6 linked regions of the Cricetulus griseus genome follow. The protein of the gene in region 1 interacts with the protein of each later gene in a biochemical or structural test. Links are inferred from orthologs where the notes say so. Each region holds a gene or a part of one and is shown on either strand. Other genes may lie near its edges. The genes, in order: Magi3, beta-1 adrenergic receptor, corticotropin-releasing factor receptor 1, Rps6ka1, Adrb2 and Pten.

Evidence for each region.
Region 2: the proteins of Magi3 (region 1) and beta-1 adrenergic receptor interact in a test that uses a peptide from one of them, tested with the Homo sapiens proteins (2 studies listed by IntAct, with this or other methods). The link is inferred for Cricetulus griseus from reciprocal best matches to the Homo sapiens genes MAGI3 and ADRB1.
Region 3: the proteins of Magi3 (region 1) and corticotropin-releasing factor receptor 1 form a complex in vitro, tested with the Homo sapiens proteins (2 studies listed by BioGRID and IntAct, with this or other methods). The link is inferred for Cricetulus griseus from reciprocal best matches to the Homo sapiens genes MAGI3 and CRHR1.
Region 4: the proteins of Magi3 (region 1) and Rps6ka1 interact in a test that uses a peptide from one of them, tested with the Homo sapiens proteins (2 studies listed by BioGRID and IntAct). The link is inferred for Cricetulus griseus from reciprocal best matches to the Homo sapiens genes MAGI3 and RPS6KA1.
Region 5: the proteins of Magi3 (region 1) and Adrb2 form a complex in vitro, tested with the Homo sapiens proteins (2 studies listed by IntAct, with this or other methods). The link is inferred for Cricetulus griseus from reciprocal best matches to the Homo sapiens genes MAGI3 and ADRB2.
Region 6: the proteins of Magi3 (region 1) and Pten form a complex in vitro, tested with the Homo sapiens proteins (2 studies listed by BioGRID and IntAct, with this or other methods). The link is inferred for Cricetulus griseus from reciprocal best matches to the Homo sapiens genes MAGI3 and PTEN.

What each region holds. Positions count from the first base shown.
Region 1 is NW_023276806.1:52,925,394-52,930,403, reverse strand, and holds part of Magi3 (membrane-associated guanylate kinase, WW and PDZ domain-containing protein 3), read right to left. Parts: intron 4,135-5,010; coding exon 3,996-4,134; intron 3,228-3,995; coding exon of another isoform or gene 3,178-3,227; exon of another isoform or gene 3,137-3,177; intron 2,574-3,136; coding exon 1,513-2,573; 3' UTR 1-1,512.
Region 2 is NC_048596.1:4,712,493-4,717,043, forward strand, and holds beta-1 adrenergic receptor, read right to left. Parts: upstream 2,862-4,551; coding exon 1,461-2,861; downstream 1-1,460. UniProt on the Homo sapiens protein: Beta-adrenergic receptors mediate the catecholamine-induced activation of adenylate cyclase through the action of G proteins. This receptor binds epinephrine and norepinephrine with approximately equal affinity.
Region 3 is NC_048600.1:117,186,478-117,192,094, forward strand, and holds the start of corticotropin-releasing factor receptor 1, read left to right. Parts: upstream 1-1,913; coding exon 1,914-1,937; intron 1,938-2,031; coding exon 2,032-2,119; intron 2,120-5,617.
Region 4 is NC_048595.1:19,424,635-19,429,256, forward strand, and holds part of Rps6ka1 (ribosomal protein S6 kinase alpha-1), read left to right. Parts: intron 1-2,529; coding exon 2,530-2,691; intron 2,692-2,884; coding exon 2,885-2,961; intron 2,962-3,076; coding exon 3,077-3,194; intron 3,195-4,622. UniProt on the Homo sapiens protein: Serine/threonine-protein kinase that acts downstream of ERK (MAPK1/ERK2 and MAPK3/ERK1) signaling and mediates mitogenic and stress-induced activation of the transcription factors CREB1, ETV1/ER81 and NR4A1/NUR77, regulates translation through RPS6 and EIF4B phosphorylation, and mediates cellular proliferation, survival, and differentiation by modulating mTOR signaling and repressing pro-apoptotic function of BAD and DAPK1.
Region 5 is NC_048595.1:176,927,625-176,932,141, reverse strand, and holds Adrb2 (beta-2 adrenergic receptor), read right to left. Parts: upstream 2,663-4,517; coding exon 1,406-2,662; downstream 1-1,405. UniProt on the Homo sapiens protein: Beta-adrenergic receptors mediate the catecholamine-induced activation of adenylate cyclase through the action of G proteins. The beta-2-adrenergic receptor binds epinephrine with an approximately 30-fold greater affinity than it does norepinephrine.
Region 6 is NC_048596.1:28,806,478-28,811,921, forward strand, and holds the start of Pten (phosphatidylinositol 3,4,5-trisphosphate 3-phosphatase and dual-specificity protein phosphatase PTEN), read right to left. Parts: upstream 3,718-5,444; 5' UTR 3,600-3,717; coding exon 2,777-3,599; intron 2,677-2,776; exon of another isoform or gene 1,761-2,676; coding exon of another isoform or gene 1,714-1,760; intron 1-1,713. UniProt on the Homo sapiens protein: Dual-specificity protein phosphatase, dephosphorylating tyrosine-, serine- and threonine-phosphorylated proteins.

The sequences.
Region 1 (5,010 bases):
TTACTTAAGGAAGAGCCACATCAGAATGACAACATATGACATCAAAGTTATGTCACAATTAACAATAAAAATAGGATTTGTATCACTAATTGTGGACTATAGGGAAAATAAATCATTTCTGTGGTACTAAATTCTTAGCATTTATCAAGCCTCCTAATTTTGCTCTATTCAAGTAGTTATAATAGATGGGTTAAATATAGTTCTGGGTGGAAGCATGTGTTACCTACAGGGGCCAGTACAGTTGGTCACAGTGGAGTTTGTCAGACTCACAGGGTAACAGAATGATTGCTCAAATACTCCCTAAGTAGACAATTTTGGTCTGAGAATTGTGTCTGTGTTTATAGATGCTTCTGAATGCTGTTTCAAGGAACCAAACGAACATCCCAATCTATTATATGAGGTTAAAACTTGTCTTCAACTTTCAGCAAACATTTTTCTTCTTAGACTTTAGAAAATAACTCTGAAATCTTTTCCTGTTTTTAAATAGTTAGCTAAAAATTAAAGTTCCAACACATGTGGTCTATAGCATATTAGTCCTGACTTGCTGGGAAAGCCGAATGCAAGCACTGCTTCTAAATCCCTAAAACTCCTGCATCGGTCCCAGATAAACTTCTTTCTCTATGCCACAGGAGCTGGTGCTTTATCTGACAGTGGATTGTAGAACTGACATGATTAAGTCCCTCACAAAAATATCAATTATGTATTAAAGACTAATGATTAATAATCAAAATATCCAGATAGTAGCTTTTCTTGGAAGAGAAACAAATGGTACTTCCACAAGCTCCTGCACTTCTCTTCCTACGACAGGTGATCTGAGACACCGTAGCTACATTAGGGTTGGCTACTGGCAGGAGTTTGTTCATTCTGCTGGTTAGTACTTCCTCATTTTGAGCATTCAATTGTAAGGACTATCTTTAACAGTTACTTGAAACACCTTACTTAGCCATAAAAAAAGCATCTTTAATATTTGATTTTTCCTGTAATGTAGTGATCTTTCTGAGTTGCATTTTTAAACTAGGATGGTCAGAAGCTATGAAAATCGGCAAGTGCCAACTTTAATGATGAGCTAACAATTTCTTCCTCTGCAAGGACTCAAATATTTCTCTCTGTAAGCATGCAACATGCTATTGGAAACATCTTCAAGCTAAACCGAACTGTTTCATGACTGGAAATATCAGAATGGGAATGATAAAACAGACATGATACAATAGGTAACTTGGCACGAATACAAAGTGAGTTGTAACCATACTGCTAAGATCATGTCATTGCTGAGCGGGCAGCCTGAGCAGGGCATGGCAGATGAGCCCATGGCTGCAGCTCCTTCCTGAATGTGAAGAAGGGCAGCCAGCCAGGGCCAGGTGGGTCTTAGGAATCCCAGAAGACTTTCATGCAGTCTGTCTAACTTGATGCTTCAATTAGGTATTGAAGACTATCTGGACACCTTTCCCCTTAAAAGAATGCTGTGTTTGAGTAAAAAATTACAACTTAATTTTCTTTGTATTATACAAAAGGTCATAGCTGTTTGTCAGCCATGCCAGCAGGGCCTATGATTTTATTTGCACGTGGCACTCTCCAGGGCCCTGGAGTGATGGGAGCTTTTTTGACTGGAGAGCTGTTTTCAGGTATGCCCCCTGCACGCTCCTTGCATCTGTCAGTGGCCTCTGGCTCTTTCCCTTTGTGATCTTCTGCTTTACCTAACGTCATCTTCTCTTCAGGTTCCTGCTTGAGCTTCTTTGCTGAGATCTGGACATTTTCTCCTGTGGTTGGCTTCTTTCCTTTTTCCTTCTCAGACACCGCCCTACTAGCAGTGTTGCTGATCTTTTTGGATGGAAGAGATGTTTCATCAACTTTATTGCTCTTTTTCTCTGGAGACCTTGTTCTGGTTTTTCCAAGTTGACTCTGCTTCAGATCTTTCCTGACAACACCCGATTTTTCTTTCCCATCTGGGAGCTGTTCAGTACTGTCACTAGTATGGCCTGCTGCCCTTTGGCTTTCAGTGTTTGACGGGCCAGTGCCTACAATCTTTTGCTGATTCTTGGGACTAGAAGATCGTCCTCTGCCTTTTCTGCAGGGATCTTGTCCAGAACCCGCCTTAGTGGTGATCTGACCTTTAGTCTCTCCTTTCCTAGGGCTGAGTGACCGATCTCTAGATTTTCCTTTGGGGTCACTTTTTAGGGGCCTGGGAATCTTTTCCAAATGTTCCTCTGAATGTTGATTAGCTGACTTTTTGGGACTAGCAGATCTCTCTCTTCGTGTGACACCATTTTCTCCTTTTAGTAGATTCTTCTCACCATGCCTTTGACTACTGGGTGGATCCTTCTTACTCACATTTTTCTGGAGAACGGTCTGATGCTTCATTTCAGGCTGGCTTCCACTGAAAGTGCTTTTCTTTTCTGGTACAGTGTCCTTTAGTTCTTCTGCCTTTTCACATATCTGAACTCTAATCAGAGAGTCTTCAGTTACTGGCATGTGAGACTCTTCAAATACGGAAGCAGAATGTGAAGATGGGAGAAGTGGTGGCTGTTCATCATAAATGACATTGGAAGATGAAGGACTATTAATATCCCAATCACCTAAAAAGTGATTGAGTAGAACACAGTTACACTCAAGAATTATGAATAGGAACAGTGAGTTTTGAACTTTGACAGCCATTTGAATATGTTACAGGTTGCATAGCCCAAGGAGGAATATGTTACATAACTTGTATATATTTAAGTCACTTTCTGTAAAGGCAGATGCTTATAGATATCTGCTTATGTATGAAGGGTAGATTGTTATAATAATTGTTTCACTTATGTACTGTTAGAGGTGATATATGAGCTGTAAATTATTCATAAAGCCAAATAAGATAGAAATAATAAAATTGGACCAAAGTACCTGGTCCAAGAAACTTACTAATTAATCTATTATTACTGTTTAACTTAAGGATATGCCAAAATCACTAGTGAAAAAAGACCAGACTGTGGTAACCCAAATGAGGTTTATGGGCACTGTAAATAATTTTCTTGTTAGGCTGTCAAATTTAATGTCAAAAGAAGACTGAAAAAGTGCAGAAGACAGAAGTAGATGTATTTAATAGCATCATTTTAATTAAAAAGAAAATGAAAGAAGTGATTTAAAAGACATGCAAATTTACCAAGTCTTTTTAAGGAAAGACCAAGAAAAGCCCTGAAAGCCTTAATGTTGCTCAGGCTTCACGTAGGAGCACAGACCGGAAGGAGCCAAACCTGAAGAAGGAAGAGAAAAAGCCTAGGACTATGTGAAAACAAACCAGCACAGTTAGCACAGATGTCATGGGAATGTGTGCTGTATGAGCAGATGGTGAAAGGTAACACAGCCAGAGAATCATAGCTGGAAGGGACCATAGGAGGTTATGTCTACATTTACTCTACAACAGCTCTGATGGGGAGCTATGCAGGGAGACACATATAAAACAGGTGTGGTACTGCCTTTAGTTCGGATCATGCATTCCCAAAGTGATTTTTAAAACACTGACAGTTCAAAATATATAATAAAGCCAAGGGCATTTACCATCAATACAGGAGTACAAACATGATCTTAGATTTAACTCCCTATCTCCAGGTAGTAGGGCTACAGCAACTTATTTTGATAAGTGACTAGAAAATCCTAAAGTTCTGGCATTCACTCATTGAGATAAGCTTACTTTAAGAAAATAATATTTATTGGCAAAGTGTAATTAGCAAAGGAGAAAAAAGCTGGGTTATTCTAAAGACATTTGTTTGTCTCTAATGTTCTCATATTTTATAGGCACATTTCTCTCCAAAAAGCACTATTTCAGATGAAATAAAGGTAACAAATGCTCTACTGCAACAATTATACTATTTGGAAACATCATTTGCATTATAGTAACTTTCTTAGGTGTTTCTGGTGTTCATTTCTAAATTAGCCAATAAAATGTCCATCTCTTCCAAAGGGGTATTCCCTTTCCTTCTGCCATCCCCTCCCCAGCAAGAATGCTTAGCTACTTTACTTACCATGGTCAGGTATCAAGCCAGTTCCTGGCCTCAACAGGAGTAGGACTTTATTTCCACCAGCCTGAATGAGCTCAATTGCTCGAGTATGTGTGATGCCTTGTGTAGGTTCCCCATTGATTTCCACAATCTGGTCACCAACCTGGACAAGAAACATTTACAACTGTATGAAACAGCAGGATTTTTCATTTCTACATTGTCAACAGAGCCCTTCAATTCTGCTAACTCACTCTTACTTGTAAAATCTTTAACCTGGACAGATAGCTAATAGGTGGACAGATGACAGCAATAAGGAGAGACAATGCATGATTTTATTTACTTTATAAAAATTCTACGTGGGAAAGTTTTATGTGGCTACCAGTCAGTATCTGAGCCTTAATCAAGAATCAAATTCTGATTTTCCCACATGTGTGAGGCCCTGAGACTGATTTCTAGTAAGGCAAAAGGAAGAAATTTAAAAAAATCTAGTTTTCTGCCAAAAGTTAAGACAGTAGAAAAAGTGACATTTCTATATTAACCTAAATACAGCACAGAGCAGCAACTAAATGACAATTTGTAAAGGGTGCTTTCAAACACAAGCTAATAATCTTGACTTGGTTTAGTAAAGCTGGGGCAGGTGATTGTTCATCACTAAAGCTTTCCTGAGAGATTGGCCATTCTTTGTATTGCCAGCTATCCTGTCCTGGTATGAGGCCTTAGCTAAGTGACTTATTTGGAGATTACAACTTATAAAGCTTTGAGAATACATTAGTATGAACACTTATTTAAACCAATTGCTGGATTGCATATAGTGACTTAAACATAAAGTTATTATCTTGGGAAACAAACAGAAAACTGGGACTAAGAGTATGATACCATAATGCTGGTGTCACTTACCAGAAGTGTTTGTTTGTTTGTTTGTTTGTTTATTTATTTATTTATTTATTTATTTTGGTTTTTCAAGACAGGGTTTCTCTGTTTAGCTTTGGAGCCTATCCTAGCACTCGCTCTGGAGACCAGGCTGGCCTCAAACTCACAG
Region 2 (4,551 bases), on another chromosome or scaffold:
TGATCGAGTCATGGAGAGATCTTTAAAGGGGCTACCAGTCTGTAATCTTTCTTGTCACCACTGACCCCTTACAGACACACAGTACATAACCTTGGTTGGCTGCACTGGTGTTTTATTGCACATGGACCAATTCCCCACACAGTAGCTAGTTGCACCAGAGTATAAATATTTGGTCACACACACAGAAGAAACAGAATATACACACGAGTGCTAAATTTTACCAGCAGATTCACGTGGGCACTTGGACATTAAAAAATAATAATAAAAATATGTAAGATAATGTTTATAATATGAATACAGTTACAGTACCATGATAAGAGTATAAAAAGTAAGTTCCCAACAAAGCATCAACTCAATAATGTAATGGACAAGAGAATTGAGTTTGAATTTTATTTTAGCTTTTTAAGATCTGCCCACCTCCCCATCCCATTAAAAATATTTAATTTTTGTGCAAGTTAACGTCTTCTATGGACTTTACAATGCCTAACACTGTGCAAAATGACATTCTCAACCACTGATTTTTTTTTGTCATCTTTGTTTTTAGCCACATGTGCAATAATCTCAACTGTTTCCTTTTTTTTTTTCTGTCCTATCTTCAGTTGACAGAGTCACATGTCACAGAGAGAGACTCAGCGCCTGGTCCTTCCAACTAATATTGATACATAAATAAGCTGTTTAATATAAACAAGTCTTTCTATCTTGCTGTGCAATATGCACAGAGTGAGGTAGAAAACCCTCAGCAGGACCACCGAGGCGCGCAGGGGACAGGGTTTGCCCTCCAGAAGAAAGCAAGGTGAACCGTGTTTCACGAATAGCTTAACGTTTCTCGAAACCAGATTTGTCTGTTTCCGTATCCATCTTTTCCCCTTTGCTTTAAGAACCGGAGACACCAGTACTCCGGAATCAATATGCAATTTCTTTAGAAAGCAAAAGAAAACATTTCCTGGCTAATTATCACCGCTCCCACCAGCACCCCAAACTGGAGCTGACTACTTAGGTTCCTAGATGTGGAACCGGAAGCCAGGTGGTAGACTTCATTCCCCCTTTACCCTCCCCACCTAGTTTCCACTCCGGTCCTTGCAGAAAATGTCAAAACCCATCTGGAAAACAAAACAAAACAAAAAACAAAAGCTAAAGGTGTATCACGAGAACACACAAAAGGCCGAACCCCAGAGAGAAAGGAACCCAAGACAAATCAGAAAGCCACACTCTCCCAACTCCTCCCAAACTTCCCTTTTTGCGCTGCGGACGGTCCGGGGCTTTGCTGTACGTCTGGGATGATTCAGATTCATCTGTGAGTTCACCTGCTTTCGGTCTTGAGTAAACAGAGGTCTCCTCCCTCCTCTGCGGAGCGGCTCAGGGGCGCCCGGCAAGCTCTCTTCCTCTAGGGACGCGGAGCCTGTGTCCAGGCCGGGACCGTGGGGCCGGCGTCCGTGCGCCCGCCGGGAGAGCCTGGCTCTCTACACCTTGGATTCCGAGGAGAAGTCCCGGCGCCCCGGCTCGTCCAGGCTCGAATCGCTGTCCACAGTCGTCACCCCGCCGTTGCAGCCAGCCCAGGGCTCCAGCAGGCGCGCGGGTGCCGTGATCCCCGCATCGTCTTCGTCGTCGTCCGAGGGAGCTCCAGGGGACGGCGGCGGCCCAGCTCCCGCCAGGCAGCCCGAGGCGCGCGGCCGGTCCCCGTGGGATGCGCGGCGTCTGCGGACGGCCCGGCGCGCGCAGCAGAGCAGGCGCTGGAAGGCCTTGCGGAAGTCGGGGCTGCGGCAGTAGATGATGGGGTTGAAGGCCGAGTTGGCGTAGCCCAGCCAGTTAAAGAAGACGAAGAGGCGATCGGGCACCAGGTCGCGGTGGAAGGCCTTCACCACGTTGGCCAGGAAGAAGGGCAGCCAGCAGAGCGTGAACACACCCATGATGATGCCCAGCGTCTTGAGCGCCTTCTGCTCGCGCAGGGCCACGAGGCGCGACGGCCGCCGCTTGCTGGAGCGCCCGTTGGCCAGCGAGTCTGCGGGGCGCGGCGGCCCTGGCGACGGCGAGGGCGCGGGTGAGGGCGGCCGAGCGGGGCCGCCGAGGAAGCGGCGCTCGCAACTGTCGATCTTCTTCACCTGCTTCTGGGCCTCGCGGAACACCCGCAGGTACACGAAGGCCATGATGCACAGGGGCACGTAGAAGGAGACGACGGACGAGGCGATGGCGTAGGCCCGGTTGGTGACGAAATCGCAGCACTTGGGGTCGTTGTAGCAGCGGCGTGCCTCGTCGCTCTCGGCCCGCCACCAGTGCATGAGGATGGGCAGGAAGGACACCAGAGCCGAGATGGCCCACACCGTGCACACGAGGGCCCGCGCTCGCGCGCGCGTCAGCAGGCTCTGGTAGCGGAAGGGCGACGTGATGGCGAGGTAGCGGTCCAGGGCGATGACACACAGGGTCTCGATGCTGGCCGTCACACACAGCACGTCCACCGAAGTCCAGAGCTCGCAGAAGAAGGAGCCGTACTCCCAGCGGCCCCACACCACGATGGTGGCCCCGAAAGGCACCACCAGCAGCCCCATGACCAGGTCGGCGCTGGCCAGGGACATGATGAAGAGGTTGGTGAGCGTCTGCAGCCGCGGGGTCTTGGCGATGGCCACGATCACCAGCACGTTGCCCGCCACGATGAGCAGCACGATGAGCGCCAGCAGGAGGCCCATGCCCGCAGTCCACGGCTGCGACAGCGGCGCTGAGCCCTCGCTGGTGGGAGGCAGCAGCGAGGCGGGCGGCGACGCGAGCACCAGCAGGCGCGCCGCGGTGGCCGCGCCGTCGGGCAGCGGCGCGGCCGACGACAGGTTGCAGGGTTCGGAGGCGCCCAGGGCGAGCGCCCCCGCGCCCATGCCGAGCTGCGGAGGCCGGGGGCGGGGGGTGTGGCGGGGCTGGGCCGCGGCTGGGGAACACCCCAGGAGCCGGGGCTGCGGGGCCCGCGCGGGAGGTCGCGGCCAGGTCAGGGCAGCCGCGGCTCGGGGCCGGAGGCATGGACTCCGAGCGCCTTCTCCGCCGGAGCCGAGCGCTGTCGCCGCCGCCGCCGCCGCCGCTGCTGCTGGAGCCGCTGCCGCTGCTGGAAGAGCCGCCGGGACCTCAGCATGTTTCTGAGCGCGCGGGGCCGACAGCTCCGGCCCCACACCCCACCCCGCTGCCACCCCCCTAGCCAGCCCCGGGGCCGCGCGTCAAGCTCCCGCAGCCAATCGCCGCCAAGGCACGCCCCCGACAACGGTGCCCCCACCCCCCAACACCCGGCACCCCCTCCTACCCGCGATTGAGCCGCTCCAAAGATTCCGGGCGGACTGCGGAGCCAGCATCTCCCCGGCACCCACCGGCTGCAGCGAGCGCGCCCTTTCCGGCTCCGGCAGGCTTCTACCGGAGTCGGGTCTGCTGCGTCCCCGCCCCCTCCAGGGGGTCCCCGCTCGCCCCAGCACCAGCTCTCTTTTTCCCTCGGCGCGGCGCGGCTCCCGCCCTAGCTCTCCTCCTTCCCACCGGCGCCCCGCAGCTCCCGCGCCGCTCTGCCTCCTCTGCCGAGTTCCCTGCAGCGAGGAGGGAATCTTGTTGGCGTTCTCAAGACGCCCAGTGCCTTGAACAGCCTGTCTGCTGGGGTTGGAGGAGTTTAGCTGTGAGACTGGTTCTGCCATCAGGCAGCCTGGCCCTTCCCTGCTCGAGAGGGGACCCGGCCAGCCTGACAGCTTGGGGGGAATGGGAAGTGGGTGTTCGTGGTTAGAGGAAAGTTTCCAGCCAGGCCGGTTGCTGGAGCAGAGCGCGCATCTGTCAGAAAGGCTCTCTGGCTGTTCTCGCTCAGAGCTGTGCTGTCACTCAAGCCCAGTCAATGGAGAAAGGAAGTGAAGGTTTCTGGGTGTTAACAGTCAACGCCAGGGACCAGTTGGACACACACACACACACACACACACACACACACACACACACACACACACACACGCACGCACGCGCGCGCACACGCGCACACGCGCACACGCGCACACGCGCACACGCGCACACGCGCACACGCGCACACGCGCACACGCACACACGCACACATACACACACACACCTCCCAACCCCAGCCAAGGAGAATGACGCCACGGTGTGTGCCGAGTATGAAGGAGAAGTTTGCAACATGCAGTCTAGAGTAGATGACACCACCGCCGCCACCCCGCGTAGAAAGGACACACCGAATGACGCTTCAGAGTTTTTGGCTCTGATTTTAACACCTTGACACCTGCATTTGTGCTCTGTCGCGCCCATTGGGTTTTATAATCCGAGCTGAGTCAACACAAGGAGCTATTCCTTTTGGTTGACGTCATGAACTAGGATTGCAGATTTCTTGGGTAGGGGAGCTGTTTTCTCCTTTGCCCAACTTCGCAGATTCCCCAAACCGTGGGATTAGCTTTAGAAAGACTAGGGAAGAAAATACATAAACACCCAAGGCGATTAAATCTGAAAGTGTTTAAAGTTAGGTCGCGTTTCCCCCTTCACATTGGCAAGTGAATATGAAACTAGAGTTGTTAGCTTTTTTTTTTTTTTTTCCTAGGTGGATTG
Region 3 (5,617 bases), on another chromosome or scaffold:
GGGTAGGTGGTGGTGGTGGGCTGGTATTTTTCAGCAGAGTTTGCCATGTCTTTAATTTGCCGGTGGCTGAAATGAAACTGATTGGTTGATTGATATTGATTTGTGTGGGGTTAGAAGGTGAAGGGAAGCAGGATTTTCTAGAAGGGACCTCTAACCCCAGCAGCCATCACCTATTTGTGGGGATAGCACAGGTTTCCTACTGACTCTTAAGTGAACTGTGTAGCTTTGTCAGAAGGACACTGCTCTCTGCTTAGCTATCAAGAGCCACCAGCTAACCCATGACTTCCTCTTCTCTCCACATCTGCCTTTGCATTGAAAATGGGGCCAATGATATTTCCTCACCCTCTGGAGACTGGGAAGCTTAATTACTGATTAATAAAGTGTGGGAAATTGCTCGGGGCCAGAACAACTAAAGGGTTTATTCTAATCATTGCCAAGGCCCAGGAGTGAGTTCCCTGTCCCCAGGGCTGATAGCAGAGCAGCACCTGTACCTGCACAGAATGGGGGGACTGGAGACTGTTGAGTTTCATACTTGTGTCAGTAAGAGTCCTGGGGTGAGATGGAGGGAGGGTGCCTGAGGTGGGGGAATGGATGAAAGCCCACTAAGGACTTAAGGGTATAGTGTGGCTCTGTAAGTCACCAGGATTAGGGATGGCTCTTATGGGAGTGGGTCCAGGCTGTGGTCAGGAATACAAATGCATGGTGGGAAAGAAGGCAGAAGAGCCTGCCTTTGTCATCAATATATGACAGAAGGGGAAGTGAGTACTGGTGAGGCTGGGGGGACTGGCCCCTGAAGGGAGCCAGACAGATGGACAGATAGACAGATGGGGACACATGCACACACACACACACACACACACACACAGAGAGAGAGAGAGAGAGAGAGAGAGAGAGAGACTGACTTAGCCCATCCACAGTCAAATTAAAACTAGGGCTCCATTTGCTTCTCAAGCTGGATGTGGTGGTCCTTATTGATAATCCTCTTGATCCTAGGACCCCTAAAGAGGGAACAGGAGAGCAGAGTGGGGTGACTATGTGGAGAACACTCCCAGGGTTGCCATCCTACCTGGGGATTCTTCTCACGGTGGTTAGGTCCCCAGTGGAGAAAAGACAGCCTGTCGTAGTTCCCCTCTCCCACCCCACATGCTTCTGGACCCCATTTGCAGAATGAATCCCAACAGACGAGGCCCCAGCCCATCTCCACCTCCCTAGTTAGGTCAGCTAACAACTACTGAGTATGTAAATCCTCATTGAGCGCCCATTGTGTACCCAAAAACATCATTCATTAGCCTCATTGCCAGAATGAATACAGTGTAAGCACAGACACAGGGGAGGCCTGCACTTGCTTTAGAGCAAGGACACTGAGGCCCGGAGAGGTCACATGGCCCACTCATCCAGACTCCCACCTGTAGAGAGGATAGTAACCCAAGAAAGTGCTCATCATTGTTGGGGTGGGGCTGTTCATTCAAGAAGGGATCGTCTTCCGGTCATAGGACTCATGGCTGAAACCCTGGAGTCAGAGTAACACTGGGCCCTCAGTAGGGTTAAAGGCCTTCCCTGGAATAGGTGACCCATCTTCCCAGACACAATCATTTCTTTAGCGCCTCAGTTTCCCCATCTTCAGTAGCCATATCCATGCTGTCCCCGGGGTGAATTAAGCCATTGTAGATATCGCAGGACATCGGAAGAGCTTGAAACATGAGGCTCAATTTGCAATGACTGGTAGTCATTGACAGGGATGAAGGCTCAGGAGGAGCTCATAACCACGGGCCTGAAATACCACAGAGGTAAGGAAGGTGGAGGGTTGTGTGCAAATGTGTGTGCATGCACTTGGAGCGACCGCGTTAGACATGTTTGGGGTCTGTGCCTCCATTCCAGGCCCTGCGTGAACCAGGCAATTTCAAACATTCTGGATGGGACCAGGAGACTGGGCAAGGGTAGGATGCTGGGCAGAGGAGGGGGGGCAAGAATCATCAGCTCAGACTGATGAGTACCCCCCTAACAGTGTCCTGTACCCCCTTGTGTCCACAGGCCCTTCTCCTCCTGGGGCTGAACCCTGTCTCCACCTCCCTGCAAGACCAGCGCTGTGAGAGCCTGTCCCTGGCCAGCAATGTCTCTGGTGAGTCATCCCTGCCCCTTAGCTCCCAGGTTCCCACAGGATCTCCTTCCCTAGAGCTCTGAGCAGCGACCTGTATAGAAAAATCTCTGGAACTGGAGTCAGTGAGGGTAAAGGGGCCTGTAGTTATCCAGGAGCCTCGTCTGTGGGCACAGGAAACACACTCAGCAAAGGTGCCTTGTGGTCACCATCCCAGGGGGCAACAGGGGAAAGCCCTCCAGGCCTCACTGCTGAGGATATTGGCAAAAGGTCCAAGGCTGCTGCTGTTGCTAAATATGCTGGAGAGTAAGGCTACATGCTGCTAGCACCAGGGATTTGAGATCCTGTCACCCATCTGACTCCAAAGGCAACTGAGGCACAGACAAGCACTAAGTGCTAGAGCCTGGGTTGCAAAGGCAGTCTGGCTCCCTGGTGATGCTCAATACCTGCCCAATAGAAAATTCTAGGTAAGGGGCTGGAGAGATAACACAGTGGTTAAGAGCACTGCGCGTTCTTCTAGAGGACCCGGGTTCAGTTCCCAATACTGGTACTCACAGGAAGATGATGCCCTGGACTTCTTTGGGCTTTGCTTTGCCCAAATTGAGGGAGGGGGATCCTGAGGTTAAATGCACTGAGTTTTGCAGGTTTGTTTCATAAGCTGTAACATCCAGACAGCTACTGGGTATAATCATGGGTAGCTTTTTCAAAGTACTTACTGTGCACCTAGGAGAAAGAGAAAGTACACCCTACGATTGCTTGCTTACTACAACGGAGGGTGTCAGGGAGGCTAGGATAGGGGTAGGGCAAATCCCAGAAGCCTTCCTGAAGGAGGGGTTTTTAAGTGAGCCTAGAGATAGAGCAGTCAGTGATTGAACACCAGTGGCTAAGTTGGCAGAAGGACTCACCAAGGTGAAGAAGGCCCTGGCCGTCCCAGCATTGGACTACCCACTGGCTGGGTTGAGCAGGGAGTGCGTTGCTCTCAGCCTATCAGCAGTGGCAGCCAAGGACAGGCAGGGAGGATGCCTGGAGGAAAGGTCCCCGTCCCTCCTCTCCACCCCAGGCCAGGTCAGGCTCCATTAACTTGCTCCTATTCAAGAGAAGTGACACCCTGGAGCCACACAGGTGTCACCTGTCCTTGGAGGCAGCAGGCTGTGAGGGATGATGTTCATTCTTCCGTGATTTGTGCTGGATGCCCCACCCCCTCCCAGCCTGCCTGGCTCCATAGGATGCAATCCATCACCTTCCACAGTGGCCTCCGCTCTGGCCATTTGTCATCTGATGGGCATTGGCAGAGACAGATGGTGAGAGTGGGGTGGAGGGCCCGGGACAGATGGATGGGCGTCTGGCCCGAGTGGCTGGCACTGTGCTGAAACCTTTGGGGGCCTTGCACATGCCTCATGCCAGAAGTAAGGAGGGGCTAGGTTCCCATGGCCAAGGCCCCCATCATGTGACAGATTATAGACTTGGCAACTTATAAAATCATGGCATGAGTATGACTGTGCCAGAAAGTAATAGAATTACTGACTAGTAACACCCCAGATAAGTGGAGTCAGGGCTCAGGAGGACGTGGGGTCACTAGTTCCCATCGCTGTTCTTAAGGCGGTAACGATGAACAACAAACCGTAATAATAACAGCTGATTCGTGTGGATGTCCACTTCATGTTGGGCACAATTCTAGGTGCTCAGCCTCATCCGGTCATCACAATAGATTCAGCAAGGATTTTGGTTCCCGCTTTAGAGAAAAGGAACCTTACACTCAGAAAGGTTGAGTAACTTGGACTGAGCACACACAGTTGCCAAGCACTGGCCACAGGGGTTGAGCCAACTGAGCCTGATTTCAGATTTAATACATTATGTGGTCACTTAAGAGATCTGTCATATCCAGGGCCCAATGTTACTTGGAGACACAGTGTCACTTGGAGGTGCAGTGTCAGCCCTGCAGTTTTCCCTGAGCACACTAAACTTGTATATGGCCCTATGGTTTCTTCAGCACCTACTATGTGCCTGGACTTCTACAAGGTATTGAGTGCAAACATCAGGAGTGGTCAGAGCACAAGGCAGGAAGCCTCACAGGCTTCTACCTCTCTCTTCGTGTGGCCCACACTCTACAGAGACACCTTTCTTCACCCTGCTAAAGAGGCAGCTTAACCCGAGGTGCCAAGACTGCCTGCCTGCCCCGTGCCTCTGTCTGTGCCGTGTCACCCAAACAGAGCAACTGCCCTTTCATCCCAGAGCACTCTCCTCCTAGCAGGAGTACCCATCTTTGAGGTTGCCCTAGAGCACCTTCCTGCTCCCCAGGAAGCCTCGGAGGAGTGTCCCCAGTCTCAAATCAGATAGGTAGATCAGATCTTCCTACCTGAAAGGGGGCTGCCAAGTGCTCACACCCTCTGTGGTTCACTCAGAAGCGTGTGATGGAAGACCACTCCTAACTGGGACAGGAGCATGGTTCTAGTTTCCTTCCAGCATTACCTACAGCACGAGGGCCCTCTGCGCACATTAGGGCACTAAGCTTGATAGGGAGGGAATTGTGTGGCCAACTTGACAGAAGAAACCAGTGCCCAACTGTGCACAAGCAGAAACTGGGCCACCCTTCAAAGGGCCCTTATCTGTTATCTGCGTGACACAGTGACGAGAATGTCAACCCCAGAGACCTCAGCAAACACCTGCCTCAGGACCTTTGTATCGGCTGCTCCCTCTTCACCATCTATGCCCATGACTCCCTCCCTCCCTTCAAGTTCATAATTAAACTTAGTGTTTTAGAGAAACTCCAAATTAAAATAGCATCTAGTTCGTCTTTATTTCCGTACATTGTTTGTAGTATTTCTCACAGGATAGCACATGCTTGCTCAATCACTCTGTCTCCCGCTAGGATGCAATCACCCTTGGGACAGGACATCTTTTATTCTTTCTGTTTTGTTTTGTTTTGCTGTTTTTTCGAGACAGGATTTCTCTGTGTAGCCCTGGCTGCCCTGAAACTTGCTCTGTAGACCAGGGTGGCCTCAAACTTACAGAGATCGCCTGCCTCTGCCTTCTGAATGCAGGGATTAAAGACATGTGCCACCACTGCCCGACCTGTTTCATTCATTTTATATCTCTAGTTCATGCCATTTCTTAGGTGACTTGAGTATTTTGAATTGTTTTGTTTTGTTTTGTTAAGAGAGGGAAAGAACATAAAGTCGGGTTGGTAAGGAGGAAGCAGGAAGGACCTGGGAGGAGTTGGGAAAGGGAAAAGAATATGATCAAAATATATTGTATGAAAATAAGAATAATTTAAAATTCCACACAGTAACTGACCAGGAAGTGGCTCGTAGGTGGCCAGCGGGCCATAGGAAGAGTTAGCCCCCTGATCCTTGCTTACCCGCTCTGCTTTGGGCTGCTGAGTGTGGTTGGCTAGTAGGATGGCTTGGCCTGATCCAAACTGCTCCTCATCTCAAAACTCTGATAATGAAATGGGACAATACCATCCCCACCCAAGAGGGGAAGAACAGAGCCTGTTTGGGGCAGTTGCACCTGTAGGGGTTG
Region 4 (4,622 bases), on another chromosome or scaffold:
CTGCCTCCCCAGTGCCGGGAATTAAAGGTGTACGCTACTACCATGCCCTGCTTTTGTTTATTATATTTGAGACACGGTCTTGTAATATAACTTAGGCTAACCTGAAACTTGCTATGTAGCCCAGGCTTTTCCTAAACCCACTCTGTGGCCTGGAACTCACAGAGATCAGCCTACCTCATCCTCCCCAGGGCTGGGATTATAGACCCAGCAAGAATACTTAACTATTACAGGCCACTGGCCTTTGAGGAATTCCAGTTTTCTTTGTCCTTATAGACTATAGAGGAGAACTCTGGAAATGGGCTTGTTGTGACTGTATCCAACTGTTGGCCTCCAGGTCCATGTTTTAGTGACTGGGATGTGTCCTCACAGGTCCGAAAGCTCAGCTTCTCCTCTACTCATACCTAGAGGCCAGTCAGGACCTGAGCTAGCTATGTAGAACAGTGGGGCCCTGAAGTGGAGGCAGGGGCGCGAGGTCACTTGTCTCTCGGTGTGACGTTGTACTTGATCCTGCATAGATAGCATCCGCAGGCACAGCCTCAGTGTTGTCCCTGACTACTCAAGCCAGGTGGGAAGACTCCATTCCCTCATTGGGAAGACCCTCGTCTGTGGCTTTATCCTTGCAGAGCCTCTGAATCAATTCTTTTGCTAGACCTGCAAAATGGCAGTGTTTGATTACATTTGTTCTTTTAGTTAATGTGTACATCAGGCGTTGGTGGCGCACACCTTTAGTCCCAGCACTCAGGAGGCAGAGGCAGGCAGATCTCTGTGAGTTTGAGATCAGCCTGGTCTACAAGAGCGAGTTCCAGGACAGCTTCCAAAGCCACAGAGAAACCCTGTCTCGAAAAAAAAAAAAGGAGAGGAGGAGGAAGAAGGAGGAAAATAAAATATTAAAATATTGGGCCTGAGTTGCTACATGGTGACTGTCACCTAGTCCCCAGGAACAGTGTTTAGTCTGGTTGCTGTGTTTTCTCTCCGTCTGACTTCTCTCATGCCTGCCTGGCCTACTGTAACTTTCTGTGATAATGGACACACCTGATGGCCAGTAAATACTATGTCGCTTTTCCAGGCTGTGCCCCACCCCCTCTGTTCCAGCCATGGTGAGGCACAGTTCCTGTCAGTTACTCATCTCTTTGTTGCTAGGGCAGAGTAATATCACAAACTTCCCTGTCTCTGTTCCCCAAAAGTGTTCTTTATGCCACACTAAACTGAAAAGACCCTGCATCCATGGTCAGGGCTGAGTTAAAGTCCTGCCGTTGTTTGTCACAAGTCAGCTTTTCTCTCAGGGTCTCCATTGCCTCCTGTAAAATGTCACCTGCCTACATACTGAGGTGTGGTGAGTAGCCCCAGTGAGATCATGATTGTAAGTGATATTTTTGGGGGGTTTGTTTTGTTTTGAGGCAGGGTTTCTCTGTGTAGCTTTGGAGCCTATCCTGGAACTCATTCTGGAGACCAGACTGGCCTTGAATTCAGAGATCCGCCTGCCTCTGTCTCCCGAGCGCTGGGATTAAAGGTGTGCGCCACTGCCTCCTGCCACCACCACCACCGGCTTAGCCAGGGTTCTTACCTGTCAATCCATCCTTCTGGCCCTGCTTTTGTGGGTTGGGTGGTTGGTTGTTTACAAGGACTGTGTAACTCAGGTTGTCCTCTAACTTACTGTGTAGTCAAGGATGAACTTGAACTTCTGATCCTCCTGCAGGATGCTGTAACACTGAGCTGCATACCCAGTCCTCCATTTTTCTTCTTTACATTTTTATTATAGTCTGTGTGTGTGTGTGTGTGTGTGTGTCTGTCTGTCTGTCTGTCTGTCTGTTTGTCTGTGCACACGCATACTGTTGAAGCACATGCATGTGGCTGTCAGGACAGCTTTTGGGAGTAGGTTCTCCGCTCCTACCATGTGGATTCTGTTGATAACACTTAACACTTAGGATAACACTTTCTGGGAGCGCTTGTCCCCACTCAGACATCTCGCTGACCCCTTGACTTAACGTTTAAGGGACTCACTCTGGCAACAGCAGAGTCTCCAGGCAGATGGTGGTGTTAGGGACAGCATCCCCAACAGGAAGAGGGGCTGGGAGTGCCTGAGCAGCGCCAGCAGATTTTTTTGGTGAAATGGCTGAGATGTACAGGGAAAGAAAATTTTTTAAAAAGGAGGGAAAAGAACACATACTGTAAGAGGGAGCTACCTCAGAAGAGTAGGTGAAGAGTGGATTGAAGGGGAGACATTTGGATGGGCTCAGAGCCACAGGCGTCTTCACGGAGATCTCAGAAAGACAATACAAAGCTGGTGAGGTGGTCCAGCATAGCATGTAAAGGAGCCTGCTGTCAAGCCTGACGGCCTAGGTGTGATCCCCGGGACTCACAGGGTGGAATCACACCACCACACATTTTTTTAAGGAAATATACTGACATAGGGCCCATTTCAACACTTTCCCTCCCTCTCAGGGTCTGTGTTCCAGTCTGTGTGACTTTCCCAATTCTGACAGTTGGCATGAGTCACTAGTAGCTCCTAACCCAGCCCTCTGTCCCTAGGTTGTCCACAGGGACCTCAAACCCAGTAACATCCTGTATGTGGACGAGTCTGGGAACCCTGAGTGCCTGCGCATCTGTGACTTTGGCTTTGCGAAGCAGCTTCGGGCTGAGAATGGGCTTCTCATGACGCCTTGCTACACAGCCAACTTCGTGGCCCCTGAGGTTAGTGGGGGTGATAGGAGCTGAGGTGCCTGCTCTCAAAGGCCCCATGCTGTCTAGAACTGCAGTGTTCATGACCTTGTCACAGGCACCAAGAAAGGCCTATAGCCCATGCTTCCTACCCTTCTGGGATCTGTCTGATCATTTCCAAATGTCCCTGAGCCTGACCACACCCATCCCATCCCCCTCCTGCCAGGTGCTGAAACGTCAAGGCTACGATGAAGGCTGTGACATATGGAGCCTGGGCATTCTGCTGTACACCATGCTGGCAGGGTGAGTGTAAAGTCTGGGTCCATGGCCCTGCCTCTGGGAGCTGCCAACCTCCTAACCTACCCCCGGTGCCACAGTGGAGGCCAGAGGCTAAAGCCAGGTTCGGGAACTCCTCTAGATATACTCCATTTGCCAATGGGCCCAGCGACACACCGGAGGAGATCCTCACCCGGATCGGCAGTGGAAGGTTCACCCTCAGCGGGGGAAACTGGAACACGGTCTCAGAGACAGCCAAGGTGAGTCTGTGAGGCCCGGAGGACAGAGCCAGGCTGCCAACGTCAGGGCTTGTCAGCAGTTCACGAATGGGCTTGCTGCAGCCCCTTTCTCCTAAGTAGAATGTTCCAGAAATCCCCATTGCAGTCTGGCCCCAAGTAGAAGATTCCCAGACGTATGCCCTTCCATGTTCTGGTCCCGAAAGGATGCGGGGAGCTGCCCAACCCTGTTCCTCTCTGTGGGAAGTTGATGCGGTAGCCAGTATGGCCAGACGAACCTGTGCCCTGTGGAAGGCCTTCTCAGAGGAGACTATACTTGAACTTAGAACACTGTGAAGTTTCTAATCACCAGGACACCCTGTATAGTAGAATCAGGTCGAACCTTCATGGAAGCACCAATGTTTGAGACGGGTAAACTGAGGCTCACAGAGTTAAGTAACTGTCCAGGATACTCAGGCTGGTGAGTAGAAGAGCTGAGTTTAGGATTTTTATTTGTTTGAGGGTCTGTAACTTTCAGAGTTTGGTTTGGTTTGTTTGGTCTCACTGCATAGTCTAGGCTATCCTACAACTAGGTCTGTGGGCCAGGCTGGCATTAAACTCATCCAGATATGGCCTCTGCCTCCCCACTACTGGGATTAAAGTTGTGCACCACCACCCCCAGCCTTATTTTTATTTTTAATTATATGTGTGTGGGAATGTGCATGTGAGTGAGTCCAGGTGCCCACAGAGGCCAGAAGGCACAGGGCCACCTGGAGCTGGGTTTGCATCTGTTGTGAGCCTCCTACCAAGTGCTGGGAACTGAACTCCAGGCCTCGGGGAGAGTGGTGAGCACTGAGCTTGACTTTTACATTGAAGATGGTCTTTCCCAGCCCTTGCTGGCCCTCAAGCCTACGTAGCCGAGGCTGCTATTGAACTCTTGGTCCCCCTGGTTCTGTCTCCCAGGTGCTGGGATTAAAATACCTGGCATGTTTTTTTCATGGATTTTTCTCTTAGTTTTTGTTCTACATCACACTGGAGATGGAACTCAGCGCCTGGTGGGTGCCAGGCAAGCGCCCAACCGCTCGGCTACATTTCACCCCAGGAAGAGTCAAATTTGAACCTGTGTATGGTGATATCTTGATGGCTCAAATAAAACGTGTCTGAAAATCAGAGGGTGGAACTTGCCACTAGCTAACCATTGAGGTCTGGACTTCACACAGACAGACAGGAAGTGAGATGGCTGGGCAGAGAAAGGAATATAAGTGGGAGGAAACAGGAACTCTCTTTTCCCCTGGGAAGTGAGTGAGGTAGAGGTGGCTCTGGCTTGCTCCTCCTCCTGTCTGATTTCTCAGTATTTTCCTCTATATCTGACTCCAGGCTTTTATTATGACCTATTAGAACTCATGCTACACCTGTGTCTCTTTGACCTACAAGTCTTTAGCCACCTTTTCATGTGGCTTTTCTGAAAGGGAA
Region 5 (4,517 bases), on another chromosome or scaffold:
AACAGGCTTTCTGCAAAGGACTACTTTGTCCTGAGGGGTAATAGGTCATGGCTGAGGTTATTTTGGTCTATGATTTATAAACTTGAGGGGTGCCACTGGAATTAATTGGGTGCAGGTCTGCTGCTAAATATCCTATAATGCATGGGAATGCCAGGCATGAGAAAGCCTGATTTACAAAGAAGTGCAGAGAATCAGGGGAGAGGAGACCAGGAAAGCGGAAGAAGGGAGAGGCTGAACCCGTGTTCAGGGTATGAACTATTCACCAGCTATCTTTGAAAGCTTTGCACTCTATGACCAAGGTCTCTGATTTCCCTTGGAATTCTGAGATTCCTGAATAGCTTTACACAGAACATCTTCCTCATCCTGAATACACCAAGCCCTGCTGCAGTACAAAGGGCACTACTGTAAAAGATGCCAGTGATATAAATCCACACAGTTTTTAAACAAGGGCTGGAAGGTAGGTAGCAGGAGCATGTGGGACAGAACGTATGCCCAGAACACACACTCTCTCCTCTCTCTCTCTCTCTCTCTCTCTCTCTCTCTCTCTCTCTCTCTCTCTCTCTGAGTCAGGGTTTCCGAGGTGACAGCACAGAATAGCAACTGTAGGACACACTGGGTTATGCTGAGAGCAGGCAGAACTGATTTGGGGCACAAGTAAAATTAGGAAAGACACAGGTTTGCATTTGGAAATCCAAAGGCACATGGGAGGGCTAGGCAATCAATGCATACCATTCTGGTACCCTTCCACATCAAGACACACAGCAGTTATGACACATAGTTACCTGTGGTTTCCAGTGGGAAAGACAAGGACACTCCAGAGTCAAGAGGTTTTGGAGAAACAGGTGCAATGAAATCATGGTCAAACAATTTATTTACTGTAAACTTTAGACTTTGCTCAGAAAAAAACAGCTGAAGCTGTCCCTCAGATCACTGCCTACAACACTCCATTTGAGCAAATAAGTGGAGCGGGGGAGAGTATATATTCACAGCAGAAAGGTCCAAGACACAGGATTGTCAAGTCCAAGGGTACAGGAAGGAAAACTTCCTTCTGATACAAATTACTAGCAGCAATAATAGTATACCCTAACACTTGACCAATGAGGTAGATGCATGGAAAAATCATCTAAACGTACAGACAGTCCTCTAGGACCAACACGCTTCAGACAGAAACTTTTAAGTTCCGTGCAAAGAGGAACTGAACTGCACAAGAAACAAATAAGCACTCAAATACAGCTTCTCCCCCTCTCTTGTTTTTGCAGCTTAAAAAAATAAAATAAAAAAGGGCAGAAGGATGTTCCCCTTCTGCAAATCTCTATACAATTTTATTCTAAAGTTATTACACTCAAGTTAAATAGTCTGGTTAGTGTCCTGTCAGGGAGGGGTCTTAAAAAGCAGAAAGCCTGCATTACAGTGGTGAGTCATTTGTACTACAGTTCCTCCCTTGGGAATCAAGGCTAAGGCTAGACACAGTACCTTGACAGTTCGCAAAGCTTTCCGTGCCTGGGGTGTCCTCACACAGCAGTTCACTTTCTTTTTCCTGCCCCAACTGACATTCACTTGCCTCCCCCATGTAGTCTGTTTTGCCATTACTGTTGGTGGAGTAGCCATTCCCATAGGCTTTCGCAGAAGACCTGCGGAGGCATAAAAGCTCCTGGAAGGCAATCCTGAAGTCTGGACTCCGACAGTAGATCAGGGGATTGAAAGCAGAATTGACATAGCCCAACCAGTTAAGGAGGATGTAAACTTCCTTAGGGATGAGGTTTTCCTGGATGACATGCACGATGTTGACAATGAAGAAGGGCAGCCAGCAGAGGGTGAATGTGCCCATGATGATGCCTAAAGTCTTGAGGGCTTTGTGCTCCTTCAAGCAGAACTTGGAGGACCTTCGGAGTCCGTGCCCACTCCGCCCATCCTGCTCCACCTGGCTGAGGTTTTGGGAATGGAATCTTCCCTCAGATTTGTCTATCTTCTGGAGTTGCCTTTTGGCCACCTGGAAGACCCTGGAATAGACAAAGACCATGACCACTAGAGGCACGTAGAAAGACACAATGGAGGAAGCAATGGCATAGGCCTGGTTCGTGAAGAAGTCACAGCAAGTCTCCTTGAGATAGCAGGTGATGGCTTTCTTGTGGGTGGCACGGTACCAGTGCATCTGGATGGGCAAGAAGGAGGTAAGGCCGGATACAATCCACACCATTAGGATGACCATTCGGGCCTTATTCTTGGTCAGCAGGCTCTGGTACTTGAATGGCGATGTGATAGCAATGTAGCGATCCACTGCTATCACACACAGGGTCTCAATGCTGGCTGTGACGCATAACACATCAATGGAAGTCCAGAACTCACACCAGAAGTTGCCAAAATTCCACATTTTCATAAGGATGTGACTGGCCCCAAACGGCACCACCGCTAGGCCCATGACTAGATCAGCACACGCCAAGGAGGTTATGAAGTAGTTGGTGACGGTCTGTAGTCTCTCGAACTTGGCAATGGCTGTGATGACCAGCACGTTGCCAAACACGATGGCCAGGACGATAACCGACATGAGGATGGCCATGCCTACCACCCACGCTTCGTCCCGTTCCTGAGTGATGTCGTGGTCCGGCGTATGGCTTCCGTTGGGTGTCAGCAAGAAGTCACTGTCGTTCCCGGGTGGCCCCATCGCTGGCAGACTAGCAGGTGAGTGCACTGGCTTTGGGCGCCCTGGCGCTCTCAGCGGGTGCACCTCCGACGGGGCACAGCCTGCCGGGGACGGACTCCTGGAAGCTTCATTCAGCGGCTGTAGGTGGCTGTGCTGGGGGCGCGTTCTGCACACTCAGCTCGTGGGGTGCTCTGGGTTCGCGGTGCCTGCTAGCTGCAGCCTGAACGCTGGAGAAGCAGTCTCGCAATGCTCCCTGCCCGTTATGTGCACCGGACTTTAGGGGAATTGCTTGGTGACGTGCAACAACTTTGGGCCAATGGTACGGTCGCATGCCCGGAGGGGCGAGGCACCAAGGGCCAACCCTCCCTGCCTAGCCCGCCTCCTCCTGGGGTTGGTCCGGGCGGGGCCCCAGTGCTCCCCGGAGGCCAAGCCACCACTCCCTCCCAGCTACCCTAGTGGGGCCTCAGAGACAGAAATCTGGAGCTGCTGTACGATCCACCAACCAAGCGCAGTCTGGAAGTTCTTCTACCTGTCCGTGCAGGTCACCTCTGCGGGCTGAGGTCTCTGGATGCAGGTGGCACACAGCGCATTTTCCTTTAGGAACAGAGAAGAGAGACTGAACAAGCACACTCGGACACGCATACACAGGCACAAACGCACTCGGCCGACGTGGACATGCTCAGACTTATGCCGCACCACAGCCACAGACACCGAGACACACCCGCGCCCACTCACGCTGGAGACGACAGCTGTCTCCTGGTCCAATGCAGAAAGGTGGCTAAAAACAAACACAGGAATACCTAGAAACATGCAGAAAGAAATGTACACAAGAGCTCATGTGGAGATGTGGTGTGCGGACCATTCAGACACCCATGTCCACATCCAGGTAGCATCCTCCTGAAGCACTTATAAATGACACCCTCTTTTCCCATTCCCAGACTCTCAGTATATTCCCTTACAGTTATTTGGCAAGAGCACAGGAGGTGACTTCAATAGCTACAGTTTCTCTGCACACTTTTTGAAAAATATGTTTTGGCATCCTCCCCCCTTGAGACCTTGCAGGCATCGAGGCAGTAATTTACCCTTTGTCTTTCATTAGGAGTTCAAGTATTTACACATTTAGGGGAGAGTTAGGTGGTTTTATTTTATTTTTAATTCTTGGGAGTGTGGCATCATTTTCTTGTTATATGAGGATGCATTGAAAATGAAAATGTAATATTTTCCTTTTACATTTTTAAAAGTTAAGTTAAATTCATTTATTTTACACATATGGGAGTTTTATCTCTAGGTATGTCTTTTCATTGTATTTGTGCTTATTTTGAAGGTCAGGAGAGAGCATCAGATTCCATAGGACTGGAGATACAGAAATGTACCAGCTCATAAGCTGACATGTGGGTGCTGAGATTGAACCCTGGTCCTCTGGAAGAGCACTTAATGTTCTCTTAACCACCGAGGCACCTCTCCAGTCCAGATAATTTTCATTTCAAAGAATTTCTTCAATTACTCCATTGAAACTATAAAAATATCATTTCATGTGTTGGCTGGATAATTTGTTAATCTTTTAAGCTGTGTCATGTGAACTTGCTACTGTTGGACTTGCTACTATTGTTTTAAAAAAAACCCATAATTTCATATAACATTATATTAAAAACATGCTCTCTGGAGACCATTTTAAAACTACAGAAAGTAAATGATAGTTGTTTCCCCCCTTTAAAAAAAATCAGACAAAGACCTAGATTCATGAAATACTATCCTCATCTGGAAAATGATTTTGACTATTGGGAAAACAAATAATTTTTTGCGTTTGATTTCACATGTGTTATCTTTGACAAACTGCAAGTCTTTCACACCGCATAACCAAACATACTTTGTAGAT
Region 6 (5,444 bases), on another chromosome or scaffold:
CACTTCAAGGTACTAATATTCCCGTGATCAGTATCTGAAAGGGTTCCTAATCTAGCAAACAAAGGCCTGTAACAGAAGCCTGAGCTCTGCATGTGCTTTAAACACATGAAATCTTGCAATCTCACATTCAGCCTATTTTCTAGACTGCTCAGAATCAAATCCAACCAACAAATTCTTACAACAATTCAATTTTGCAGAGGATTTGAAAACACAGCTTTCCTGAGAAAGTACATCATTGCTGATTGCTGACCCTTCTACAGCGAATAGAAATATCCCATTTACTAGTTTCAGAAAGGAACTTAACTTGGCCAGCTTCGGTGCCAACACTGACCAGTTCAAGTCTTCAATGAGCATTTTAACTCCTGCCCCCAAACACAGAACACACTGATGAGGAATCAAGCAAGCCCCTCTGGCTTATCAAAATCATTGGGAGGACAACTCTCAGAAGAGCAACGGCTTCACCGACTTTCTCCCTATAGACTCAACATTTGGCTCAATAAAACCACAGCTCTAGAAATTAAGTGTTATTAGTCATTTGATGCAATATTTGATACTGCTTTCTATGCACATTATACTAAAAGTACAGTTTCAGAGCTCTAACTCACAGAAATGGCACGTGCAGAAGCCCATGTACTATGCAATCAAATAAGGAACTGCAATCATGTCACTGCTCACACATAAAAATTTGGCAAAACAATCTTGAAGTCCGACACACCTGATAATTTTAAATCAAGTGGGAACAGCAAAACATAAGGGTACTGTGGAAGGTAAGAGAAGCCTGACTACCAGGCATTCAGATTTTTCTTTGAATGAGGGCCTATTTTTTTTAATTAAACAGATACCGGACTAATTCCTTCTATATCTAGATTACTATCACTAATTTATACCAACTGCCTTGAAGCAAGTGATAACCCAGAATTTTCTACAATTACATTTCAGAAAAGGTCAAGTTCATCCAGAGTAAAGTTTTGAAATATAAACTGAAAATTAATGCAAACTTCAAAATTAAAGATACCTTAACAGATTAAAGATTTTCTTAACAGAAAATTAGCCTACTTCTAAAGCCAGTTCTTCAGTGAGTTTCATCTTCATTTCAGAACAAAAACTCGGTCAAAATTAGCTATGCATGTTTATATGCTGCTAATGCAATCAAAAAAAAAAAAAAAAAACCAAACCTCTTCCAAATGAAAACATTTTCTTACAAAAAAAAAAAAAGCCTCTCCATAATGCTCTTATTATTATCAGGACATGTATAGACAAGTCTCTGACCTTCTACCTTAAGAAATGTCTGCTGGTATTTACTAATAATTAACTTTTACTAAGACTATCTTATTAACAATTATGCAATTACATAATTTTAACTAAATTCTGCTCATTGCTACAAGTCACATGAAAAAATAATTTGGGGTCGTAACAAAAGCCCTGTCACTTCAGAGCAGCAACTTGTGTTTTCTTCACACACCGGCCTCCCAAAAGCTCTCAATATCTGTCAATACTTCCTCCAAAAAAGGAGGGCTCTCTTCCTATCCCTGATCAAAACCAATACCATACCTGAAACTGCAAAGATAAATGCTTTAAGATAACCACGAACTTTTGAAGTACAAAGACCTAACTTTTAGACAATCAGAACTATACACCGTTAAAAATTCTTGGGTTTCTGTCTTATTCAACAAGCTGACTCAGGAAATTACTGCATTTAAAAAGCTACCATACCTACAATCTGAAGTCAGTGATCCACTCTTGCTAGTATTTCTGGGCATTAGCTGGTTAAATTATACTTGACATTCTATACAAATCAGGGTAAAACCCATGGGCAGTCAACGGGTCAGAGCACCTGAAACACAAAAATTTTGAGCAGCAAATTCCTGTTCACGATAATAGTTAAATTTCATGTGAGAGCTGAGGTTTAACCTCTGCAACCATTCGCCACACACAATATCCTTGAACTCACACGGACATCACCTGGGACCAAAAACTATTCAATTTCTATCCCATCATGTATGGCAAAGCCAAATGAATGTAAAATACCGCTGAAATGCAAAGCTCATGCCTCATCCCACGTACAAAGTCTAATTTAACAAAGTTCTATTAAAAGCTCCAATAACGCAAATTCTGGCACTGTTGATCTCAAACTACAGAACTTCTACATGTAGTTCCAAAGTGGTAAGTAATTACCCCAGTTTAAACACACAAAACCTACTTTTACCCTCAAAAGTGCACCATCTACTCTGAGGATGACTATGCTTATAAAGTTATGCAAATCAGTCCACAAGTTACATTTTAGAAAAATCTATCAACGCAACCCAGGAAACTAACAATCACTGCAAGATTCTGAGGTAATATGCCTTCGTGCAGCACGGACTTTCATTTTAATCTGATCTACACCCTAGATCTAGGGCCTAAGTCACGATCTAATAGAAATAAGCACAACCTCACCAGCGTCTAATTTGGTTCATTTAGAAGGCTTGGATTAACGAGCTCGTTAATCCAATGTACAAAACTCTGCATTCACGGACAATAGATTTTAGGAAGAGACCACAGAGCTAGACAAGAAACCAATCCGTGCCTTGACACTTGCAAGCAGGCATGAGTTCCGTCTAGCTGAACACTCCCTAGGTTGAATACACCGGGAGAGACACACAAAATTGACGATCTAGAAATGTGACCAGTATTAAACGTTATAGTCACCCCAACTACAGAAATTTTTCGCATCCGTCTACTCCCACGTTATCAGAGTGACAGAAAAGCAAAGAGGAACAGCCGCAGAAATGGATACAGGTCAAGTCTAAGTCGAATCCATCCTCTTGATATCTCCTTTTGTTTCTGCTAACGATCTCTTTGATGATGGCTGTCATGTCTGGGAGCCTGTGGCTGAAGAAAAAGGAGGAGAGAGATGGCAGAAGCTGCTGGTGGCGAGGCTTCTTCTGCAGGATGGAAATGGCTCTGGACTTGGCGGTCGCTGATGCCCCTCGCTCTGCTACCGCTTGGCCCTGGACCGCAGCCGGGTAATGGCTGCTGCGGCGGCTGCTGGATGGTTGCAGCGACTGGGCCTGCTTCTCCTCAGCAGCCAGAGGCCTGGCAGCCGAGGCAGCGGAATGGGGAGAAGACGGATAATCCTCGCAGCAGCGGCTGCCTCCTCCGGCGGCCTCCGGAGCCCGGGCCAGGGGGGGTGCGGCGGCGGCGGACGGGAGGCTCAACACCGGCCCGGGTCCCTGGACGTGCCGCCGCCGCCGCCGCCGTGTTGGAGGCAGGAGAAGGGGAGAGAGCAACTCTCCGGCGTTCCCAGCCCTGGCAATGGTGACAGGCGACTCCGACCCCCTCCCCGGAGCCGCGGCCGCCGCCGCCGCTTCTCCCCCCCGCTCCAGGAGCGGGAGGTGCAGCCGCCGAGCCTGCGCCGGCTCCCGCCCGAGCCCGCGGCTTCCACCGTCTGTCTCTCTCCGAAGCCGCTCAGAGGCTGCCCGGTTAGAATAGACGACGAGGAGGCGAGGCCCGCCGCCGCTGCCGCCGCCGCCGCCCGGCCGGCTCCCGAGGGCGCTGCCCCCGCGGCTGCTCACAGGCGCTGAGAGGGGCTCTGGGCCGCGGCCGCCGCCGTCTCTCATCTCCCTCGCCTGCGCCGGGCCTGGCCTCACAGCGGCTCAACTCTCAAACTTCCATCATGGCTGCAGCTTCCGAGAGGAGAGAGCCGAGCGCAGCCGCGTCCCGACGCCCAAGCGCGTATCCTGCCGCAGTGCACAAAGAGTCCCGCCACATCACCGTGCGCCGGCCGGCCGGCCCGCCCCCTCCGCCGCCCCGCCAGGAGAGCCGGGCGCCTCCGAAGCCGGAGGGGAGGAGAGAAGGGATGGGGGGGGGGGCGGGCGGGGCGGAGCCGGGGGCGGGGCGCGGGCGGGCGGGGGCGGGGCGGCGCGCGGCGCGGAGCATGCGCAGTGTGACCGCGGTTGTCTCCCGGAGCTGCGCCGGCTTCGGCCGCGGCTCGCAGACACCCGGCCAAGGTAGGGCGGGCTGTGGCCGCGGAGAGCTGCGCCGAGCGGGATCGCTGGCTGCTCTCCGGTGGATCGGACCAGCTTGGTCGTGCTGGTCCGTGTCTCAGGAGCCTCAGGGGCACGGCCCTGCGGCAGGGACACCCATCCCGCCTCCTTCCGCCCGCCCCTGGGTTCCTTTGGAGCGGCTTGCGTCCCCTGCCCCGCGCCGTGGTCAGATTGCAGTGCTTCGCTAGGATTTGTCAGCGACAGCCTTTACCTAGATGGTGCACCTCTCCCGCCACGGTGTCCTCAAGGTGTCAGGCTTTGCACAAAGAACAACCCCCTATTGTGTCTCCCGCGTGGGTCACCTCATCGGGCTCGGGTTCCCTGCCCCACCTCTCGCTTCCCAGGCGGCTGGGATCTTTTGCTCGAAAGGTGAACGCTCCCAGCCAAGCGTGATGATTGTGCATACGGGGCGTGTACCTACACGTCTCCCCTGAGTATCCGGGGCCCAGAGGACACCCCTGGGTGGACACGAAGTGCATCTCCGTGAAGAGGGTGCACCCCACACGCACCCTTCTGCGGCTGGGTGGCGAGTCCCGCAGCTCCCCGCAGCCGTGGGTCCACCGGATCAGCCAGCCTCCGTCTTGAAGTGGCTAAGCATCCCCTCCCGTTTGTGGCCGCTTTGAAAACCCAGCAGAACTGGATCGCTGTGGCCAGGTTCTGCTCCACTCGGACCGTGCACGGCCCGGGAGCCGGTTACTGGGCCGGGGTGGGGAGTATGGTAGGGTCGGAAGCTGCAGCCTGCGAGTGGGCGGGGCGAGCAGGCCTGGGAGGGCTCAAAGGCGAGGTGGAAGGATACACGAGCCACGGTCGGAACTACTTTCAGGAGGAGGTCACGTGTGGTCCTAGTTGGGGAACTTTCCAAATTCCCATTCCCCTATCTGTGTGCTCCTGAGGCAAGAGCTTGGACCCTTCTGCTCTGCTAGGTGGTCACCCCAGGTGGGGGCAGCCGGACCCCTGCTCATCCCGGTCGGAGCGGAGAGCGGCACCCACGAGCGGTCCGCAGGAGCGCTGTCGGGGCCAAGCGCCTGGGGAGCTGGTTACACAAGCACCCACATTCAAGCACGTGCCCCGGCCACCCCTCTCTGCTGGCCGCCGCCGGTTTGTGCACGGTGACGCGGAGAGTCCCCAGCCTGCGCTTCCCTTTCGCTTGCAACCCATGGAGCGAGCCAGAAGGCCGAGAGTCCTGCTCTGGGTCTGCCCACACCGCGCGTTCTCAACCGTGGGAGAAGAGGCTGGGCCTGAGGGCATCTGACGCATCTCGTTTGCTAATGAGATGGACCCTCTGTAGATCTGTACTCGCGGGGCAAAAGGGTATCTCCTGTTGCTGCTGGCTGCCCGGGCTTACCGATGTTGCAACAAACTTCCAGTCACTGCCCCTGAACTGGTGAACGCGCCCCACCTACTGTAGACTCAGCCAAG